Cricetulus griseus: one gene and its partners. The protein of the gene in region 3 interacts with the protein of the main gene of each other region in a pairwise test. Links are inferred from orthologs where the notes say so. Each region holds a gene or a part of one and is shown on either strand. Other genes may lie near its edges. The genes, in order: Copz1, Copz2 and Copg1.

Region 1 (7,398 bases), on a different chromosome or scaffold from region 3:
GCTGACCTGAAACTAGCTCTTGTAGGTAGACCAGGCTGGTCCTGAACTCACAGAGATCCGCCTGCCTCTGCCTCCCGAGTGCTGGGATTACAGGCATGCACCACCACCACCCAGCTTCTATCTGCTTTTTACTAATTAAAGATTTATTTACTTATTTACTTATCTACGTGTGTGTGTGTGTGTGTGTGTGTGTGTGTGTGTGTGTGTGTGTGTGTGTGTGTGTGTGTGTGTGTGTGTGTGTGAGAGCCACATGTGTACAGGTGCCCACAGAGGCCAGAAGAGGGCATTGGATCCCCCTGGAGCAGGCATTACAGATGGTTGTGAGCTGCCCAACATGGATGCTAGGAACCAAACTCAAGTCCTCTGAAAGAACAGTAAGCAATCTAACACTAAGCAATCTCTCCAACTGTGTTTGTTTTTTTGTCGTAGTGTCTCACATTGCTTAGGTTGGTCTTCAACTAGCTATATAACTGAAGATGATCCTGACTTCCTTACTATACTTCCCAAGTGCTAGGATCATAGGTGTACACTGTCATGCCTCTCTGCTTTTATGTTTCTTTAAAAGTTAGTTTATTTAATGTTATGGGTATGTTTGTCTGCATGTATAGCTGTGTATCACATATGTGTAGTTCCCAAAGAGGCCAGACGAAAGCACTGGATCTCCTGGGATTGGAGTCATAGACAGTTGTGAGCCACATGGGAATCAAACCAAGTCCTCTGGAAGAACAGCCAGTGCTCTTAACAGCTGAGCCATCTTCAGCCCCTATTTCTGTCTTTACCAAGCTACCTGATGGATTAGTAAAGACAGACATCATTAACCAAGCAAAAGCTGAGGCTAGAGGAAAGTGGCAGAAGGTCCTTTTTAAAAATTTGTTTATTTATTCATATTTTATGTATGAGTGCTGCTCTATATGTATACCTGCATGCCAGAAGAGGGCATTAGATCCTAGTATAGATGGTTACGAACCACCATGTGGTTGCTGGGAATTGAACTCAGAACCTCTGGAAGAGCAGCCAGCGCTCTTCACTGTTGAGCCATTTCTCCAGCCCCCCCACCCCCCACCGAGGCCCTTTTTAAAAATGGTATTAGGGATCAAAGCCAAGGCTTCAAATTTGCTAAGCATACACTTCACTATTAAGCTTAATTTCCAGCCCCAGCTTGGGCTCTTGAGTCAGAACTAGGTTTAAATCTCTGCTGATTCTACATGTGTTATCCTGAGAGAGAAAATGGGCCGAATCTCATGAAACAGCTACTTTTGTAATTTGACAAAAGCCAAATACAAGTAATTTTATATGGTTCTTTATAGTTTCGTTTCCTTGTTGGCAAAACAAAAACAGTAATACCTCCAACCCACAGAAGTGCTGCCAAGCTTAAACAATGTACTTCACAGACATGCGTAGCAGTGAGAGCTCAGTGGGATCTGGTCTCTCAAACTCTTAACTGTGATGGGAAATAATCTGGTGGCTTATTTACCTGTCTACTCTCCCAGAAGTTGCTGCCACCTGAAACAAACAGGACTACACTCACAAGTCCCTCTTAACAACACTGTGGGAACTTGGTGTACTGGCTCACACCTGTAATCTCAGCCTCGGAGAGGCTAAGACAAGAGGACTGCTGTGAGTTTGAAGCCAGTCTGAGCTTCAGTGTGACACTTGTCTCAAAACCAAACAAACAAAATTTACAACAACACTGTGTAGTAAAGGACACTAAAAACATTCTAATTGGATTTGGTGACTCAGGCCTGTAATTCCAGCACCTGGAAAATAGATGTGATCTGAAAACAGCCTATGTTAACAGTAAGATCCTGCCCCTTAAAAAAAAAAAGACCTGGGAAAACTTCCTCTTTGACTGATTCTTTGGCTAGGCCATTCTGTAAGACTGACAGGGATCTCTAACCGACTTCTTTATGACCTTGCCAGATATCAGAGGAATGTGGCTCTCCAAAGCTCAAAACCAATGGCTGGCTGTGTCCCATCCATGGCTTCAGAAGTGACATCAGAGGTAGCAAATGGGCAGAGATTCTCACCTCGTTTTCATAGGAGCTGCCAATCACATAGAAATAGAGATCGATGCTACTTTTATAGACCACTGTCAGCCCTTCCAACAGGGCAATTTCACCTTGGGGAAGAAAGCAGATACTGAATGGTGGGAGAAGAGGAGACAAAACAGGAGTCCCTGAGAATTCCTGGGGACAGCTGCGTGGGCTAAAGAAAGGCCAACTGCAATAACCTGCAAGCCCTGAAGCTATCTTATTGTTTAGGGTTAGCGGAAGGGACACAGAAACTCAGGGAGTTTAAATGGATGTTCTCTAGCCCTCCCTCCCCCATTGCACCTACTTCCCTCCCTATGTATGAGGCAGGATACCAGCGATCCTTCGGACGTAAAAATGCAGAGCGGTCACCTTTACAGGCTTCCATTTACCTGCCCTAATGGATGCGGTACAATAAGCAGGGCTGCAGTTAAATTTGTCAAGTGAGGCTCATAAATCCTGGGACTAGACAGGTAGCTAACAGCCAAGCTTCTAGCACAGTATTCCCGCGTGAGGTACACTCACCTCCCCATTACATTTCTGAAGAGTTTATTATATGAGGGGAGGAGGAAAAAAGAAAGAGGAGGCCGAGTCATTTTATCTTTTTCTGCAGTCCTGCTGACACTCTCTTCCCATAGTTCCCCCCAACACAGGGAATAGTGAAGGAGAATGACCTACTATCTGTCCGATGGGTCTTGTTGAAAATGTTCTTCTCAAAGGCCTTTTGCTCCTTGACACTAGGGTAGGTGTCGTCATAGTACTAGTGGAGGAAAAGGAGACAGGGTTGGGTCATCATAGCTGTGAGACCAGATGATTAGTGACTGTTCTACTCTGGCATCTTGTATGTCTCTCCTTCAAGGCATGGGGTGGGAGAGGAATACTAAGATAGGCAAGAAAGGACTACAGAGGCAGGGAATGGCAGGAAGGGAGGGAGGGAAGGAGGGAGGGAGGGAGAGAGGGAGGGGAAAAAAAGGAAAAAGGAAGAAAAGAAGGGAAAGAAAAAAGTGCTTGCTGCCAAGCCTCACAACCAGAGTTTGATCTCCAGAACCCACAAGGTAGAAGGAGAGAGCCAACTTCCAAAAGTTGTTCTCTGGCCTTCTATAAGAAGCACACACAATAAATCTGAGAAAAAAGAAAAAAAAAAAAAAAGGAAAGGAAAGGAAAGGACTGTGCTATCATCAATCCTACAGTCCCACGTGTCATTTCTAAGACTCAGGGCAGACACCTGCCAGCTCTCCTAAGGAGACTCCACCACATGCTTCCTGGGAGCTGCCCTTGTCAGGGTCAGCGCTGGAGAAATAACCAAACTAAATGCAGGGATGTTTCCTCAGACTCTCCCTCACTAGAGGAAGACCAGTCCTGGGGGGGGGGGGCGTTGTTTTTCAAGACAGGATTTCCCTGTGTAGCTCTAGCTGTCCTGGAACTTGCTTTGTAGGCCCTAAGGGCCTTGAACTCAGAGATCTGCCAGCCTCTGCCTCTTGAGTGTCCAAATGCTAGGATTAAAGGTGTGGGCCACCACCCACTGGCTGGAAGACCAATCTTTTACTGAGCAGTGGAGAAAGGCCATACAAATCTCTTTCACAGCAAGGTAAGTCCATGCCCTGTTCTCCTGCACATCTTGGCTCTTTCTGCCTGCTGAGAGAAGGGGGCAGTCGAGCACTGAGCCCACTCCCAAGCACTCCTAGCAAGGGGCTGGAGATGCAGGCTGCTAAAGCGCCTGCTCTTTAGGGGCTAATCCGTTGCAGTCAGCTGAAGACCTATGACAGGTCTGGCATTTAGTAACTGGATAACTGTTTCCAAAGGTGTCCTGCATAGTTACATCCAATTACAGGGAGGAACAGCTGGTGAATTCTAACTAATCTCCACCTGCTGATTGATTTATGCTCTGCTCGCCCAGAGTTAATACACCAGGGACAGAAGACATTTCTACAGGGGGGGAGAACAGAAGAGAGGGGTGTCCTTTCTCTGCTCAATGCATCCAAAGTTACAACACCTCATGGGGCATGCAGCATGGTGAGGACTACAAACCTAGGGCTACAAGTAAGAAACTGGAAGACTCCCTGGACAAACTCAGGCTGAGTGACAAGGTAAGAGGAGGGGGCAAAAGGAGAAGGGGCAGATGGGACAGTCAGGACAGATGGGACAGACATAGACAGGCATTTCTAACATTGAGACAGTGTTTTGTTTTGGAGCTAAGGTTCTAAAGTTCTTCCCTGCTCTGAATAGGGTGACAGAGGAAGCTAAAGGTCTGAGCACAGCAGGAAGAAAGCACTCTAAGGGACAGAAGATTGGATTTATCTGGAGTGGGCAAGGTAAGTGGAAGAACTCTCAAAATCATCATACTCCTGAAGAATTTGAGTTAGTAGGGCCAATCCCAACACTTAAATCTCCAATGTCTCTGTCCTGCTCCTAAATTAATAAGAAAGGAAATCTCACCTTAGCAAAGAGTCGATCTCCATCATTGTCCAGAATCAGGATGGCCTTGACAGTGTACAGGGAGGGCTCCTGAAGAAACATGAACACACCTTCAGTTTTGAGGGCTCCACCACTACTAGCAAGCCTAATACCTTCCTTCCTTCCTTCCATGGTCCCACTGGGCTACAAAGGGTCACACAGGGGTCTGTGTGTGTCCCCTACTGCAGCATGGTCAGGCCTAATACCTCCCCCTGAGGATGACCAAGTGGAGGATGAACTGAACTGAGGGAGGGCTCCAAAGCAGACTCAGAGAAAACAGTCTGACTCACAGGCCTCCATCAAGGTAGGTCACACTGTTATTTCCAGGTCCTACGGCCAGTCATTTTCCAAATCACCCATCCTCCCTGGCCTCCTGGACACAGGTGAGCATGGAATGTGACCATGTTAATGAATGAGCGCTACTCATATGAAAGAAGGTTGTGCACTTAGAAGTCACTGCCGTCCCAAAACAGAGGCTTAAAGCAAGCCACTCTAAACCATCCAAACACAGCAGAAGAAAAGCACTGTGTACACACATGTGAACGCATGTGCACACATACACACACCAGTTCCCCGAAATAGACACCAACCAAAAATTCACGAATGAAACTCTTCCTCTGCTATATAGGAACCATTATCACTTAGTCTGCTAGAATAAAAATCAACCTGAATCTTAAGTGTGGTAAAAAGAAAATATTTGAGAAGCCTAGGGTCCAGGAGGTAGATAACAGGAGGGGAGTTTTCTTTCACTATAAAGAATGGAACTAAGGCTTAGGGGTGTTACAGTGCACGTTTAGCGTGCATGGGGCACTTAGTTTAATCCCCAGCCATTCCCCTATAAGCAGAACAAAATCCCAGAATGAAACAGAATTGCTGACATTGGAGCAGAGGCACTACAGCCTCAGCTCTGACAGTTATACTTAACACCTTTCCTCAACTGAAAACAGATGACTTAGGAAAAGCTGTTTTACTAAGTCTGGTGTTCTCTCCTCTATCCTCATAACTTTCAGAAGCGAAAAGTGAGAAGAGCTGGCATTGTGTACAGAAGGCCTCTGTCGCTCACATTATTTGATGACCTCACCAATAAATACTTTCTGCTACTTCTTGTGCCAAGGCAAGACTGTCTGCTTTGCTTTTCTGGTCTTAGGAAACTCACCCATCTTCTAAACATGTGTTTAACAAAGACACAAGGCAAAAGAAAGAATCACTGCAAGGATCCAGAAATTGCAACCCTATAGAGGTAAAGTGAGGCTCCAGGAGGGGAGGGGTGGGGCTCCATGTAGAAAAGCAACCCTAGCTCAAGAGAAATGGGGATTAACCAAGGTTTTTCTCCTCCTCTTCTTCTTTTTTTCTTTTTTTTTTTTTTTTAGTTTTCAAGACAGGGTTTCTCTGTGGCTTTGGAGGCTGTCCTGGAGCTACTAGCTCATATAAACCAGGCTGGTCTCGAACTCACAGAGATCCTAACCCAGGTTTCTCTAACCTTCATTTATTTATTTATTCATTTATTATTTGAGATAGGGTCTCTCAATATGTAGTTCAGGCTGGCCGAAAACTCACAAGATCCATCTGCCTCTGCCTCCTAAATGCCATCACTTATATTATTATTTGATGTGCATGGCTGTTTTGTCTACATGTATGCTTGTGCACTATTTATACGGTTGGTGCCCTTGGAGGTCAGAAGAGGACATCCCTAAAAGTAGGATTACAGATGCCATGTGGGTGCTATGAATTGAAACCCAGTTCCATATTAGAGAAGCCAACAATTTTTTTATTTTATTATTTTTTTTTGAGACAGTGTCTCACTATGTAGCTCTGGCTGTCCTGAAACTCTAGACCAGGCTGTCCTTAAACTCACAGAGATCCACCTGCTTTTGCCTCCCTAGTGTTGGAATTAAAGGTGCACACCACTATACCACCCAGTTTAAAAGCCAGTGTGCTGTTTCTCTGTGTAGTCCCAGCTGTTCTGGTACTCTCTATGTAGATCAGACTGATCTCAAACTCAGAGATCCACCTGTCTCTGCCTCTGAATTGCTGTGATTAAAGATAGGTGCTACCTCTGCCCAGCAGAAGCCAGTACTCTTAACTGCTGACCTCTCTCTCCAGATCACTAACCCAGTCTTTTGAAAATGGGATAAGAGGGCTGGAGCGATGGCTCAAGCAGTTAAGAACATTGACTGCTCTTCCAGAAGACCTGGGTTCAATTCCCAGCATCCACTCGGCAGCTAACAACTGCCTGTAATCCAGTTCCACCGGATCTGACATACTCACACAGACACATGCAAGCAAAACACCAATGCACTGAAAAATAAAAGAAGAAAAAGAAAATTCAATAAAAGCCAGGCAACGGTGGCGCACACCTTTAGTCCCAGAACTTGGGAGGCAGATCTCTGAGTCTGAGGCCAGCCTGCTCTACAGAGTTTCAGGACAGCCAGGGCTGTTACACAGAAAAACCCTGTCTTAAAAAAGAAAATGACCTAAGAAATCTGAACATTCATTCTGAACTCTCAATATTTGTTCAAAATTGAGAATAAAGTTTAAAAAGAAATCTCTTGTGACAGTGTACTAGAACTGGATTTTTACAGCTAAGTGGATTTTGTAGTGAGACCATTTTGGAGTGATATTATCACCAACCCACCCTCTCCTCTGACACACTTAAAACTGCCCACCCCAGGGAGCTGAAGAGATGGCTCAGAGGTTAAGAGCACTGGCTGCTCTTCCAGAGGTCCTGAGTACAATTCCCAGCAACCACATGGTGGCTCATAACCATCTGTAATGAGATCTGGTCTGCAGGGATACATGCAGACAGAATACTGTATACATAATAAATAAATAAATATTTAAAAAAAAAACAAAAACAAAAAAACACCCCAGACACACTGCTCTCCAGAACAATGGACAGGAGCACCTCCTCTGC
Region 2 (7,974 bases), on a different chromosome or scaffold from region 3:
TAATCCTCAACATGGTCACCACACTGGGTGGTAGCCGCCCTCATGTGAAGACATTATCAGTGAATGGGGTGTTCCTTTTCTATATAGGTGTCCTCCGTGCAGTCTTTGAGTATCTCGAAGCTCACACTGATGTTCTTGTGGTACTGAGGGGCCTTCTTCTTGCCAGTTTCTCCCAGCCAAAGCCTGTCTTTGTTTTGGCTGCTTTGGGTAAGCATGCTCGGTCTGAATGCAGCCTAAGGAAAAGCTAAATCAATTAATATACTATATCCAGCCAGCATGGCCATTAACATAACTTCCCCTGTCTAGAATCGAGACAAAATGCCCAAATTCTGGATCCACAGCACACACACATTGCACTCAATATTGTTGACTATATGCACAGTTACAACTCTGCTAGCCTGCAAGGAAGGTTTGGTCACACCTGCAAAGAAAGGATCTGTGAATTAATGGATGCTTGTTCCTATCTTCCTGGCTTGCTCCATTACTTTTTTTCTGCTCCTGCTCAAGTCTCACTTATTTGCTTGTTTAATTCGTTTTTTTCCCCACATTTATTTATTGTGCGTGTACATTTGTGTGTGCATGCCTCAATTTAGAAGTAAGAGGACTGTGGGTTCGTTCCCCCTCCATCTCTGTTCTGGGGATTAAACATTAAACTCAGTCCACTGGGCTTGGTAGCAAGCAACTTTACCCACCGAGCTATATCACCTGCCCTGTTAGTTCTACTGTGAGGAGGGCTCTCGTGTAGCTGACCCTAACCCTAACCCTAACCCTAACCCTAACCCTTTAATTCCTGCTCATCCTACCTCTATATTCTAAGTATAGCCATAGTTCTCCCTGGCCAGCTTCTTGTTGTTGTTTTGTTTGTTTTGAGACAGAGGCTCACTCTGAAGCCCAGACAGGTCTCAAATTCATCAATTCTCCTGTCTCAGCCTTCCTCCCAAGTATTGAGATTATAGATATAAGCCATCATGCCTGGCTTTCGATCTTTCTTTCTTTTTTGTTTTTTTTTTTTCAAGACAGGGTTTCTCTGTGTAGCCCTGGCTGTTCTAGAACTCACTCTGTAGACCAGGCTGGCCCTGAACTCAGAGATCTGCCTGCCTTTGCCTCCCAAGTGCTGGAATAAAAGGTGTGACCCCACCCCCAGCAGAATCTTTCTTTCTTTAAGAATTTTTTGTTTTGTTTTGTGGGGAGCATTTGGGTTATGAGACAGGGTTTCCCTGTGTAGCTCTGGCTGTTGTGGAACTAGCTCTGTAGACCAGGCTGACCTTGAACACACAGAGATGCACCTGCCTCTGCCTCCCAAGTGCTGGGATTAAAGGAGTGTGCCACCATCTCCTGGCGAGAAATTCTTATAACTTTAAAAAACTGACTTGAGGCCGGGCTTCTGCCTCCCAAATTCTGGGATTAAAGACAAGTACCACCATACCCAGGAAAATATATTTATTTATTTATTTATTTATTTATTCATTTTTGTGTGTGCCTCCTTGTCTGTATGTGCACCACATGTATGTAATGCCTGTGGAAGCCAGAAGAGGATGCCAGATCCTCTGGAACCTGAGTTACAGGTGGTTGACAGCCATGTGATGTGAGAGTGGAGACTGAACTTGGGTATTGTGCAAGAGCAGCAAATACTTTTTAATTATTGATCCATTTCTCCAGCCCCTTTGATGAGGATATTTAAGAAGAAGCTTTCAGGCCAATAAGATGCCTCAGTGGGTGAAGGCTAACAGCCTAATTCCATTCCTCAAGACCCAGAAAGTAGGAGAGAACTGACTCCTATAAGTTGTCCTCTGACCGCCACATGAGTGCTGTGGAACACTGAATAACTAAATAAATTAGATAGATAGTGTAACTTTCAAAAAAAAAAAAAAAAGGTGAAAGTTGGGAAGAGAAAGGCTTGATGTGTTCAGTGGAAGGAAGCCTCGTGTGGACCATCTGAGATGAGTGATTGTGACACTCCACTCTGCGGCCCTCAAGGACAAAATGGGGGAAACTTCTTTCCGAAGCCTGGGAACTCTCCCACCTATTAGCCCAACCAACTTGAAAAAGTCACACGATGTCTGAAAACGCCTCCTTCCCAGGCATGGCTTTTGACAGACAATGAGAATGTTCAGTGTAAAAGGCACACACCATCAGTGTTCTGAATGGTTGGCCAGGCACCATTAAATACTTCACCGTGTGTGATTGCACTCTGGCCAGGATAGTCTGCAGGCTCAGGCTGGATTATGGGCTTGAACTACCCGCCTTTTCCTCCTCTGCATATTGAAAAATGCCTGGGGGAGGTGTTCCTAAGCCCATGTTTGTTTTGTTTTGTATTTTTCCCCCAAGGAGTATGAGAGGAGAACTCTTCTCCATGGAAGGGGTTGCCACCTATCTTTCTGATCGGCTTTGTCCTGAGATCCAAAAAGGTGTCTTAAAATATTTGTCCCAATAACACCTAGGAGTCCTGAGAAAAAAGTAAGCCTCGCCTATGATTCAGGCTGGCCCTGGACAGCCACGTGGACACCTCTATGAACCAAAGTGGCAGACCCCAGGGCCAGAAGAGGCAGGAAGAGGGAAGAGGGGCTTTGGGTTACCCGAGAAACTTGTGGGCACAGAGAGGGGCCCAGGAAGAAGAATGAGAAAGAAGCCAGGTGGGGAGAGGCGGTTCTGCGGAGTGGGGGTCGGGCGGGAAGCTGGCTCAGAGAGAGGGGAGACTCACAGGCCAGCCACGCAGTACTGGGCGGAGGGGCGGCGCCGCGGGGGACGGGCGCGGGGCGGGGCGGCGCTGTCAGTGCAGGCAGCGAGCGGAATGCAGCGGCCGGAGGCCTGGCCACGTCCGCACCCGGGGGAGGGGGCCTCGGCCGCCCAAGCCGGGGGCGCAGCGCCGCCCACCCGAGCCACGGAACTGAGGGTACGGAGCGTAGAGCGCTGGGTCCCGGGGCTGCAGGATTGGGGTGGGGGGCAGCCGACTTGCCTCGGGCTCCCGGGCTGGGAACTTTGTGCCACCACTGCCTAGCCCCGGAGAGCGAGCCCGGGCCCAAGGAGGGGAGAAAAAAGTTGGTCCCGGAGCGCACGGGCGAGGAGGCCTGGCCCGAGTGGAGTGTCGCGGGGCTGAAGTTCTGGGGGAGCTCACCAGCAGTTACAGGGACTGACTGCGGTGGCGGGAGTGGGGGTGAGAGTCTAGCGGGACGGACGAGGGAGGAGTGGGAGTGGCGCGGTGGTCTGGTTGGGCTCCCTTGCTCCAGGGTGATGGCCGCGCTTCTGGAGCTTGGGGTCAGCTGGACACAAGGAGGCTCGGCGCCGCTGTTCCCCGGGCCCAGGTTCTGTGATACACTCCGACTCGGGCTCTGGAGCAGTCAGTGCATGACAGAACTTGGGCCCGGTAGGACTTTCTGCACCCAGCGGGCACAGAGCCCACTCCTCGGACCTGCAGTGGAACATCTGCCTGGGAGTAGTAGAGTGGGCACCGGAAATAGTCCATGTGGCACAGGGTTGGGCTGGACCCAGCTCTGGATTGGGGGATAGCAGACTCCATAGAGCCCATGATATGGGTCCACTTTGAGTCAGGGGTGTCTTTCCTGTGTCAGTTTCAGGAACCTTCTCTCTACACCATCAAGGCTGTCTTCATCCTAGATAATGACGGGCGAAGGCTGCTGGCTAAGGTAAACCCTCACCACAGACACCCTGAAAGCAGTGCCACATGTCCAAGACAAACGGTCCCCACCCAGCCCATTTATCTCCTGTAGGAGAAACTCTGCTTTCTGGATGGCAGAGCAGCCCAGCCTAGATTCTCTAGAAGTCACTCTGTCCATGCTATGCCTTATCAGTCTGATGGCGCGGAGAAAGGGGGCCATTCCCTCTGTTTCTACTCATGTTTTCTGACATGTCTTCTCCTTGTCCTTGCTCTGACCAGGCTTGGGAAGCTCCACCAAAGGGATCAGTGGAGATCCGAGCTGGGACCTAGGAGCCCAAATCCCTAAACTGTAGACAAGGGACCCGTGTGCTTCTGTATTCCAGCGTATTTAGAATTAGGTGGACTTTGGGAGGCAGTGTTGTCCCACTCTCTAACTTCACAGATGCAGAAAATGAAGAGCAGAGAAGCACAGGGTTAGTGCCATAACTGATACCCAGACTTGGGGCTTGGATTGGAGGCTTCGGGTGGTTTTCATGGAACTCACTTTCAGTTGTCTGGCATCCATCCTACACGGCTTGGCTGAGATGAGTAAAACTACATTTGAAGCTAAGTCTCAGGTAGGCCAGGTGGTTCAGGAAGGGTGCTTGCCACAACTCCTGACAGCTTGAGTTGGATCCTGAATTCACTAGGGAAGAACAAATTCCCTCAGGTTGTCCTTTGATTTCCATACTTGCCCCTACAACACACACACACACACACACACACACACACACACACACACACACACACACACACAAACACACACACACTGATTAAGAAAAGGAAAAGAAAAAAAAAAAAACCCTAAAACTTCTGCCACTGAAAGCCAGGCAGTGTGGCACATGTCTTTAATCCCAGCACTCCGGGGGATCTCTGTGAGTCTGGGACCAGCCTGGTCTGCAGAGCAAGTTCCAGGACAGGCTCCAAAGTTACACAAGGAAACCCTGTCTCGGGAAACAACAACAACAACAAAAACCCAAAACAATCACTAAATAATATTCCTGCCACTGATACAATTAACTGTAGCAGAAATATATCATTTTTTTGTTTTGTTGTGGACCAGGTTGGCATTAAACTTGTCTTACTTCTCCTGCCTCTTCTTGAGGGCTGAGACCATAGGCAAGCATATAACACCACACCCTAACTTTTTTGTTTGTCTGATTTTTTTTAAAGATTTTATTTATTATGTATACAACATTCTGCTTCCATGTATATCTGCACACCAGAAGAGGGCACCAGATCTCATAACGGATGGTTGTGAGCCACCATGTGGTTTCTGGGAATTGAACTCAGGACCTCTGGAAGAGCAGTCGGCGCTCTTCACCTCTGAGCCATCTCTCCAGCCCTGTTTGTCTGATTTTTAAGACAGGGTTTCCCTGTGTAGCTCTGGCTGTCCTAGAACTCACTCCACTGACCAAGCTAGCCTCAAACTCAGAGATTTGCTGGGGTTAAAGGGCACCACCACAACTATCCTCCTAGATATTTTTGTTTGCTTGTTTTGTTTTTTGAAACAGGAACTCAGTCTATAATCAAGGATGGTTTGGAACTTACTGTGTAGCCCAGGCTAGCCTGGAAGTCACAATGATCCTGCCTCAGCCTCCCAAATGCTGAGACTGTTTGTGTGAACCATACCTTTTTTTTCCTTTTGAGACAGGGTCTCATGTAAGAAGGCTGGCCCAGAACTCTTGATCTTCCTCTTTCTTCCTCCCAAGTGTTGGGATTCCAGGCATATGCCACCACATCCAGCTATAACATCTAAATTAGATATGGGTTATGATTTTATTTGTTGGAGTTGAAACTTAGTTTTCGTAACATTCAAATGAGTTTGTTCACAATGGTAGGACCCAGCAGAGAATCTGCTAACTTAGCTGCAGAATTAACTACCGAAAATTCACATTTAAAAAATTGAGCTGGTCACACAGTGCTTTAGCAGATGAGCAGGGGTGGATCGGCATTACCAAAGCCTCTGGGGCCTCCTAGAAGGTCCTATCCTGGGACTCACTCTGTAGACCAGGCTGGTCTCAAACTCACAGAGATCTACCTGCCTCTGCCTCTGCCTCCCAGAGTGTCAGGACTAAAGGCATGTGGCACCACTGCCCAGCCTATCCTTGTTATATGTTAAGAAATTGAGGGTGGCTGGGTGGTGGTAGGGCAAACCTTTAATTCCAGCACTCAGGAGGCATAGGCAGGCAGACCCCTTGAGTTGGAGGTCAGCCTGGTCAACAGAGTGAGCTCCAGGACAACCAAGACTACAAAGAGAAACCCTGTCTGAAAAAACAAAAACAAACAAACAGAAAAATTGAGGATGAGTTGGGCAGGGGTAGCACATGCCTTTAACCCAACACTCAGGAGGCAGAGTGAGTTCAAGGCCAACCTGGTCTACAGAGCCAGTTCCAGGACAGCCAGGACTACACAGAGGAAACTTGTCTCAAAAATAAATAAATAAATAAAAACAAAACAGAAAAAACAAAAAACAAAAACAACACCCCTCCCCCAAAAAACCAAACATTTAAAAAGAAAGAAAGAAATTGGGCTAGCCTGGTCTACATATAGCAGGCCAGCCAGATGGCATAGTGAGACTCTATTTCAGAAATAAAATAAAAGAATTGAGACAGAGGCCTAAGAATTTAGGTTAGCAGCAAAGTACTTACTTGTCTATCATGCATAAGACCCTGGGTTCCATCCCTAGACCTGAGAAAAGGAGGGAAGGGAGGAAGGGAGGGAGGGAGGGAGGAAGGAAGGAAGGAAGGAAGGAGGGAGGGAGGGAGGGAGGGAGGATTGGGAAAGAGAAAACAAGCTGGGATGCAGCTCAGGGGTAGAATACTTATCTAGTCACATGTGAAGTCCTGGTTTAGAACCCAGCACTGCTGGAAGGAAGGAAATACAGGAGGAAGGAAGAAAAGGGAGGAGGGAGAGAGAGAGAGAGGGAGGAGGGAAGGGAGAGAGGGAGAAAACCAGATGAAGACTCCAAAGGCAGCCCCAGTATCTCCCTACTTTGATTTTCTTTGCTTGGAATTTGTTTATGGGGACCTGGAAGCGGGCAGGGCCTGGAGGGAGGTGACGAGGAGGCAGCTCAGCCAGCCCCAGCATTCCCTGCTTGCTAGTCCCCTCCCAAGGCTGGAGCTGGCTCTGTACAACGCCTATCGGCCTTCTTCTCTTTCTCACAGTATTACGATGACACGTTTCCCTCCATGAAGGAGCAGATGGCTTTCGAGAAAAATGTCTTCAACAAGACCAGCCGAGCCGAAAGTAATGCCTGCCCCTCCTCCACTGAGCCTCTGGGATGACTGGCCACCACTGTCTGTCATCTTCCCCATCTGGGCACATCTGTCCTTGTTGGCCTTCCACACCCACGGGCCATCCCTTCTCTGAGGCTCTTTGTCTTCTCCTCCCCAGCTGCTTTCCACTCCCTTCTTTCATTCATCCTGGGACCTTCACTCCCCATCACTCTCGTCCCTACCCCTCCTCTCTGTTGAGGAGGCCAACTGTGCTGTGTGCCCCTACACACACTTGGATCTGGTCCCAGGGCATTGCATGGGATGGAGGGTCGGTGGGAGTTCAGCCGCAGGCTGGGTTTGTTGACTCCTCAAGAGGGGGCCCTCTAAATACAAAGCACTTGGGATGGGCCCAAGGACACAGAGCAGCCTCCCAGTAGTGGTGGTCTGACTAAGACTTCCTTGGGAAAGGAAATAGGAAACAAAGAGCCATGGGGAGTAGAGACCAGGCTAGCCCCAGTCTGGGGCGGAGATAGACTGATTTGAAAGCCTTCCTGTTTCTAGGTGAGATCGCATTTTTGGGGGGCATGACCATTGTCTACAAGAGCAGCATTGACCTCCTCCTGTATGTGGTGGGCTCTTCCTCTGAGAATGAGGTAAATTTAGGAGGTTGGATGACAAGGAGAGTCTGTCCTGGGGTGGAGGTGGGTTCTGGATGCTCACTGTTGCTATCCTTCCTTTAGCATCTGGGGGTGGAAGGGCAGCCAGAATAGGTCTCTCTGTAATTGTACACACCCATAATGGCCCTTAGGTCCCTTGGGAACCAGAAATGAAATCATCACACCTTCTGTAGGGAGTTGTTAGTTCTTCCTAAGCATATTTAGAAAAGGAGACACACAGTGTATCCTCCAGGGGAGCACTCCAGTGCCCCCCAGCCCAAACCTTAGGAAGTGCTGCTAGCCTCCAACCAAGCTCTCTCTGACAAGGGAGTGCTCCCACCTGGCCCACACAGGAGCTCAGAGGCCTGCTTTGGGCCTCTCAGCTTCAGCTCACTTTTCTTCCTCCTCCCACACCCTCCTCCTCAGCTGATGCTCATGTCTGTTC
Region 3 (7,398 bases):
CTCACCTCAGTCATTTTGGCTGAGAAATGGCTCTTCTCTACTACGATTGTTACAATACACAAGGGTGAATGCAGATGTATTCTATTGACTACGAGACTCTGCGGCCCAGCAGAGCACAGGGGCCCAATTTACGTAGAAAGCAATTCAACTACAGTGACTAAAGTCTTCATGCTTTCTTTTTGAGCCAATTAGGAATTTATCCTAAGAAAATTATCAGAAATGCATGTAAAAAGCCAGGAGGTGGTATGGTAGTGCACACCTTTAATCCCAGCATGGGAGGCGGAGGCAGGTGGATCTCTGAGGCCAGCCTGGTCTACAGAGCAAGTTCCAGGACAGGCTCCCAAAGCTACACAGAGAAACCCTGTCTCAGAAAAAAAAAAAAAAAAAAAATCGTAAAAATCTGTACACGTGTATGGATATATATGTACTATGTGCCACAGTCATGCGGTGCTTGCCAAGGCCAGAAGCCATCAGAGCCCGTAACTGAAGTTATAGACAGTTCATGTCCTCAGTCCCTGACACTGTCCTCTTACCACATATTCATCCTCATAGCCTTCTTCATCAATCTCTCCAGTGTTTGGGTCACAGTCCTTAACGGTGAACTTCATCACACAGCTGAATGTGCATGCCACTGTGGGGAAGAAGGGCTGGATGAAGACAAGCTCCTTCACAGTCAGGTGGACATGTCCTGCCCTTCAGGCTGCATTAGTAACAGCCACTATGCCATCAGCCCCAGCATGCTGGACAAAGGCACCACCTCATAGGACAGGAATGTCAAGTCACAGGTCCAAAGAAAAGACCAAAGAAACAGAGACAATGCAGAGTGGCTAAGACCATGCCTCAGCTGCAGGCCACTGTCCATGATGGAAAAAAAAAAAAAGCTGGTAATATCACTGGAGAAATAAATTTGAGATGTTTGGGTGTTTGTGCCTGTCTTTGAGAGGTAGTGTGCTATAATGAAAGAGTACTAACCCATTTGAAGATCAGACAGGCTTTGATTCTAAGTTAATAAACCCACCTAACTTAAGCCTCAGTTTCCTCATCTATGAGCAAGAATAGGCAGAACTTACCCTCACAGAGTTGCTATGAGAATGAAATAAGATAATATATGAAAAGAACTCGGGCCTGAACAATTCTCATGTTTGAATCAAGGAATTTTTGTGCCATCCTTGATGTACAGACTCCCACAGAGCCTGGGTGGTATCTACAGAGAGCTCACCAGTTGTAGGATCTTCCTTGGGCAGAGCCACCAACGTGTAACAGGTCCCAGGCTGGTTGTAGGGCAAGCTCCGGGCAGGTACATAGGAGAGCACTTCATATGCCTCAGTGGGCTCCATCTGCACTGTGACATTCTCCAGGGTCTGGTCATTGAGGGTGTTTGTGCAGTCAAACTGGATAAGGAGGAGTAGGGCTTAGTTGTTGCTATACGGGAAGAGCCAGGATACACCCCCCATTCCCAGCCCTCTGCCTGGTTGGCATTCACAGGCTAGAGAAGTCCTGGGCAAAGAGGGATGAGACATACCTGCTGGTGACAGGTACAGTCATCAAGCGGTGCCCCCAACCAACTCAATGGTCAACCCTACAGGACCCATCAGATCTGGGACTGCTCCTAGGCACAGGCACCAGCAGGATCTCAGGTTATCATGCTTACCTGAAACACCAAGTGGTCAGAGAAGGTGTGTTTGGTGCATCGGATGACATACTCAGTCTCTGACTCAGTGAGGGCCACTGGCTCAGGTGAGGACTTGAAGAGGGGCCCTAGCCCCTGGAACTCAGGCACCGCTGCTAACTGCTCTGAAATCCACAGATGACATTAACTTGGTTTCTGGATCTCACACCAGTTTGTGTTGAACCCCCAGGCCTCATACCATCCCTGAGAGGGAAGTTCCTCAGGAAAAGTTCCTCAGGAGGGAAGTTCACCCAGGAAAGAAGAGCTAGTTCCAGGCGCGTGTCCAACTGGCTGCTCACTCCTCCTCGGCACACTTGCCCATTCCTCAGCTCTGCCTGCTTCAAGTTGTATAACCCTCCAGGAAGATAAGACCTCTGCAGCAATTCACCCAGTACGGGACCCCAAGCCCCAGCCTAATCCACCTGAAAATCCTTACCGTTAGTTCATCAATGGTTCTCTCTCTCTCCCTCCGTCCCTCCGTCCCTCCCTCCCTCTCTCCCTCCCCCCCCCTTAAGATTGAAGGGGACAGCTGTTAGCCACTTGACATGGGTGTCAGGAACTGAACTTGGGTCCTCTGTAAGAACAGCATGTGCACTTAACTGCTGAGCCATCACTCCAGCCTCGGCAACGATTCTTAAAGGGAAAAGACTACGAATTGAGGTGCGTACTGTTGAAGTTACAAATTCAGTGAAAGACAAATCCACCCTATGCAATGGCCAGTTAAGGCATATGGCCAGCGATTAGCTACTTCTTTGGAGGGTCTAACTCTGTAGCCCAGGCTAGCTTCAACTTTGTGATCCTCCAGCCTCAGCTTGCTGAGTCTTGAGATCACAGTGAGTGCTGTTATGGCTAATGATAAGCTACTTCAGAATGTTACAGAAACACCAGACATGGCAGCACAGGCTTGTAACCCCGGTTACTCAGGAGGTCAAAGCAGGAGGATCCAATTCAAGGTCTGCCTCGTGGACAGAGTGAAATCAAGGCTAGCCTATGTACCTCATTAAGATGCTGTCTTGACGGGCGTTGGCAGTGCACGCCTTTAATCCCAGCACTCGGGAGGCAGAGGCAGAGGCAGAGGCAGAGGCAGAGGCAGAGGCAGAGGCAGAGGCAGAGGCAGAGGCAGGCAGGCAGGTGTGAATCTCTGTGAGTTCGAGACCAGAATGGTTTACAAGAGCTAGTTCCAGGACAGCCTCCAAAGCCACAGAGAAACCCTGACTCGAAAAACCAAAAAAAAAAAAAAAAAAAAAAAAAAAAAAAAAAAAAAAAAGATGCTGTCTCAACATAGCAAAGATAACAAGGGCTACAGTTCAGTACTGGAACACGTATACCCAGCATGCTTGAGGCCCTAGGTTCAATCCCAGCACAAATAAATAAATAAATAAATAAGTTAATAAATAAAACTTTTTTTGTCCTGTAGGTAAGACTCCCACTATGCAACATGGCCTGTTCCTGGCCCAAAGCTACCAAGACTCTGCCAGGCTAATTCTGGTATTCCTCATAAGCTGAAGAGGCACATGCCAGGTGTCTGAGAAAGGTGACCACCTCTAACAGCTTCAGACTCTGATCTCTTCCCTTCTATAAGGCAAGATTTCTCCCTGGTAGTCACTGGTCAGCTACGTGCATCACAAGGCTTCAGGAAGTGCTACTGCAGCAATACTGAAGAGATACAGGACAAGAGGTTTGGAGGTGGGCTGAGCGAGTTGACAACAGTCTCTCAGTTTCAAAACTAGTCTATAAGGCAACATGGACTGAACACATAAGGAATCAAAAACACAGCATCAGTGTCTCTGAACTCTAGCTACACTCCATCACACATCCTGGCAGCCAGGCTACAAGCACTCAGAGTCCAACATGAATGAAGCCCCAGTACACTCAATCACCCAGAGCCCCGGAACCAATAAAGTTCCCACTCTCTTTAAAAAGTCTTTGTGCTAGGCTGAAAGGCAGGGTCTCCAGCAGGCTAAGTGGGCACTCTACCACGGAGGCACATACATCCTCTGAAGTTCTGAATCCAATCAGAGGTGGAGACCAGGTCCCACATGAGCAGTAGCTGGCAGGCTCTGAAGTCACTCTGACCATACTGACCAATACTCACCCTGGAAGATCTCCTGTCGAGTGGCGGCCACTTTCTCTGGCTGTTTGACTGTTGCGGTGGCGGTGCTTTCTACAAGAGCAAGTACAGCTGGTGACCCACAGCTCCAGTCACAGCAGCATGCTGCTGCTGAACCCATGTTATTCCTTAGACATTCTAAATGCCAGCTCTCCCAAGAGAGAAACATGAAAGGAAAACAGCAGTTTATCAGCATGGCTATCTCCACTGCCTGAAGCAAGAGGTGGCAAAGGCTACTCCCTCGTTTCAGCACACCCACCCATCCTGGTCCACTCTGCAGCCAAGGGTGACACATGGGCCTTGGGGATGAGCAGGACCTTACCTGGTCTCTGTTCTGCCACAGGGGTGGTGGCCAGAGGCACAGACTTGAGGTCAAATGGCTTTTCTGATGGTTCCAGTGTATACTGCTGCAGGGCTCTTTCCAGACCAGGGATAGACACGGTCAGACCTAAAGCCAGTGGAGAGGTCATTCTGCCTGGCAGGCATGACAGACAGACATGATGCACCTAGGGAGGACAGAAGCCTGGGTCCCCCACTATGAAGACTAGATGTGCTGATGCTGAGAAAACCATGGAACCTCTGAGCCTTACTCTTCATCCTCCTTCCCAGAGGGTTGGTGGGTAGGTAAATACAAAGTGACTCGAAAAATTACTAAGGCAACAAAAGTTTCCATTTTAATTACTGTTTTTTTTTATTTGAAATGTCATTTTGCTTTGTAGCTGAGGCTGACTTGGAGCTTCCTATCCTTCAGCCTCAGTCTCCCTGGAGTTCTGGGATAAAAGCAAAAGCCATCACACCAGACTTAAACATTTTTATTAATGAGTGTTTTGTACTCTGGACATTGAGCCAAGAAGACTGTCATAAAATTCCAGGCCAACCTAAGCTATATAATGATATACTATCTCAAAACAACAACAAATGCTTTGGACTGAGGATACAACATGATGGTAGAGACTTGCCAAGCATGTGTAAGCTGGGTTCAAGCCAGAGTAACACATAAGGAGTACTTCAATTTATTTGGCTATTGCCACTGACATAAGTTCAAGCCATGTGACTCTGGCACTTCTGAAATCACATCAATCCAAGAGTTTGCTACACAAGTCCAGAGAAACATGTATGGTCTTGGATGTCTTGGGTCAGGGACACCACACCTGCTCTAAGGCCGCAGGAAGGTCTAAAGGCTCCAAGAGGGGGCTGGGTCCTGGGCAGGCAAGAAGACTCACCATTTAGTATATAACCTGCATTGAGGGCCTTCTGCTTCTGCTCCAGAACGTTCAGATAGAAGGTAGCTCTATCTCTCACTTCATTGTCGTCATCCATCACACACCTGTGGTCAGGACACAAGGTAACCCTGACTGAGTGTAGCAAGTGTGTCAAAGGGACCCTGTAGGGCTGTATGGGGGTGGCAGGGCGATGCAGAGCTCTTAAGGCTCAGCTGCCAAGAGTGGAGGCTCTAAAATGGACAGCATAAAATACAAGGGGCTGGTCAGCTGAGTGGAAGACAGCTCCCTAATAAAGAACTCACCCAGGAAAGAAGACAAACCAAATGTCACAAAATACACAGAGGTTCCCTTGAGCTCATAGGAGACATACTTACACCCTCTTCTGGACTCAGCAGGTACTAGGCACCACACACACAGTGCACAGATATACACACAGGCAAAAACTCACACAAATGAGATAAAAATAATTAAATCTTTGCTGGGCATGGTGGTACACACCTTTAATTCCAGCACTTAGGAGGCAGAGGCAGGTAGATCTCAGTGAGTTTGAGGCCAGCCTGGTCTACATGGCAAGTTCCAAGATAGCCAGGGCTACATAGAGAAACCCTGCCCCCCCCCCAAAAAAAAAGAAAGAAAAAAATTCTTTGGAAGGACAAAGCAGTGGACTGGACCAAGGGGACACTGTTATGCTCTCTGGCTTCTGCACCCAGACTCACCTTTTCAGCAATACCAAGATGCTAGGTAACATCTCTTCATTCTGGGCTCCAAACTTGGCCAGAGCACTCACTGCACCTAGTTCCAAGGTAAATATGATTCACCAACAGCTCCTCAGTCCCACCTGCCAGAGAGCTGAGGGTGCCCACTAGTGCTCAGAGAATTCATGCAGAAGAGGTAGTGGGTGGCACCAATACGATCCTAGAACAACTCTTGTGCAATCCTGGTGGATCCTGGTGCTACCCAGGCCTCAACTACTTCTTCCTGTTATTGGAGAAAAGGGAAGACCAGTAGCTTCTGTTCTAGGGCTCTACGGGCTACCTTCAAATGATCAAGGCCACAGACACTATCAACACTGTCAGGCTATTCACCTCAGAACAGCTTCGTGTGTATGTAAATAGGCCTGAGAGTACAGCATATGAGAAAATAAACCATCACATAGTGAACACCAGCTGCCAAAAGAAGAAAATCTTCTTAAGGATGCACAGAAGTAGGAAATGGAAAATAAGATGAAATTAAGAACAAGATGGTAGACTGCCAGATCACTGTTTATATAAAAAGGTAAATTTTATGTGTGTGTTATATCTCAAGTTTAAAAACAAAACAAAACAAAAAACCCTAGGTATGGTGGTGCATACTTGTGATTCCAGCATACAGAAGACTGAAGCGGGAGGGTTTCGAGTACGAGCCAGCCTGGCCATATAACAATACCCTATCTCAAAAATAAAATAAAATAAAAAAAGGCAAAAAAAACCCTCTAAGCACGAAACAGGAAACCTTTAAAAAAAATTAAATTGTAGAAAATCATTTATCCAGATGCATGACATATAAAGTCTTTCTGACAATATAAAAAACAGCTCATGAGGTCATGCCCCTGGGGGTTTGGGTCCTTTTACTGGCAAATTCACCGCAAAAAAGCTAAGCGCCCAGGATCACCCCAGCTCAGACCTACCTGCCCGAACCTCTTCATGCTCCAGGACCACACGGTTGTAGATGAAGCGAATGTACTTGGAGGGGTTGTTGGTCTTGGGCCCCTCCTGGCCCAACAAATGCAGGATCCGGGTAGCCAGCACAGTGAACTCGCAGTCCTCAATGAACTCACACAGGTGTGACAGTCCCGTCTCCTTGCTCTCTGAGTTCTCCTCAATGATGCTGATGATGCAGTCCACTATGGCGCGCTTGTACTCAAAGCCACCCTGCAGAGACAAATGTCTAGCTGAGCAAGGAGCTCACATCCTCCCACAGCCAAGGTCAGCTGAGGGAGGCCCAGAGCCTAGCCTGGCCCAAGACACTGCTCCACAGCTGGAAACAGGAGCCTAGGCTTCTGTCTGTGTTGGAAACTCACCAGGGCAGAAAGCTTAATGGGAACCTTCTGGACCCCAATTCTCGTGCTGAGAGAAAGATACACTCTATTAGAGAACTGCCATGTGCTTTAAAGCCCAGTGAGAAGCTGGCTCTGGAGGAAGGGCTGCTCCCTACCCCTACCCCGACGCCGGCCTCAGATCCAAGCATGTTTTGTCTTTCAAGACCCATGTCCAGGGATGGTGTCACCTGCCCCGTGAGAAGACAAAGGAGAACAGCAATACAGCTCAAAGAGTGAAAACAGCACCACTGAGAACAGGAGAGTAAATCACTTAAGTAAAATCACACTGTCCCTTAAGATGGCTAAGCAGTTCGTTCCC

What was found.
Region 1: the proteins of Copg1 (region 3) and Copz1 interact in a two-hybrid assay, tested with the Homo sapiens proteins (2 studies listed by BioGRID). The link is inferred for Cricetulus griseus from reciprocal best matches to the Homo sapiens genes COPG1 and COPZ1.
Region 2: the proteins of Copg1 (region 3) and Copz2 interact in a two-hybrid assay, tested with the Homo sapiens proteins (2 studies listed by BioGRID). The link is inferred for Cricetulus griseus from reciprocal best matches to the Homo sapiens genes COPG1 and COPZ2.

What each region holds. Positions count from the first base shown.
Region 1 is NC_048595.1:399,664,931-399,672,328, reverse strand, and holds part of Copz1 (coatomer subunit zeta-1), read right to left. Parts: intron 4,536-7,398; coding exon 4,467-4,535; intron 2,791-4,466; coding exon 2,709-2,790; intron 2,120-2,708; coding exon 2,028-2,119; intron 1-2,027. UniProt on the Homo sapiens protein: The coatomer is a cytosolic protein complex that binds to dilysine motifs and reversibly associates with Golgi non-clathrin-coated vesicles, which further mediate biosynthetic protein transport from the ER, via the Golgi up to the trans Golgi network.
Region 2 is NC_048600.1:109,999,233-110,007,206, forward strand, and holds the start of Copz2 (coatomer subunit zeta-2), read left to right. Parts: upstream 1-3,524; coding exon 3,525-3,644; intron 3,645-6,822; coding exon 6,823-6,904; intron 6,905-7,434; coding exon 7,435-7,526; intron 7,527-7,955; coding exon 7,956-7,974. UniProt on the Homo sapiens protein: The coatomer is a cytosolic protein complex that binds to dilysine motifs and reversibly associates with Golgi non-clathrin-coated vesicles, which further mediate biosynthetic protein transport from the ER, via the Golgi up to the trans Golgi network.
Region 3 is NC_048601.1:55,401,324-55,408,721, forward strand, and holds part of Copg1 (coatomer subunit gamma-1), read right to left. Parts: intron 6,913-7,398; coding exon 6,669-6,912; intron 5,795-6,668; coding exon 5,719-5,794; intron 5,107-5,718; coding exon 5,003-5,106; intron 4,228-5,002; coding exon 4,102-4,227; intron 3,834-4,101; coding exon 3,765-3,833; intron 1,795-3,764; coding exon 1,652-1,794; intron 1,392-1,651; coding exon 1,220-1,391; intron 632-1,219; coding exon 534-631; intron 1-533. UniProt on the Homo sapiens protein: The coatomer is a cytosolic protein complex that binds to dilysine motifs and reversibly associates with Golgi non-clathrin-coated vesicles, which further mediate biosynthetic protein transport from the ER, via the Golgi up to the trans Golgi network.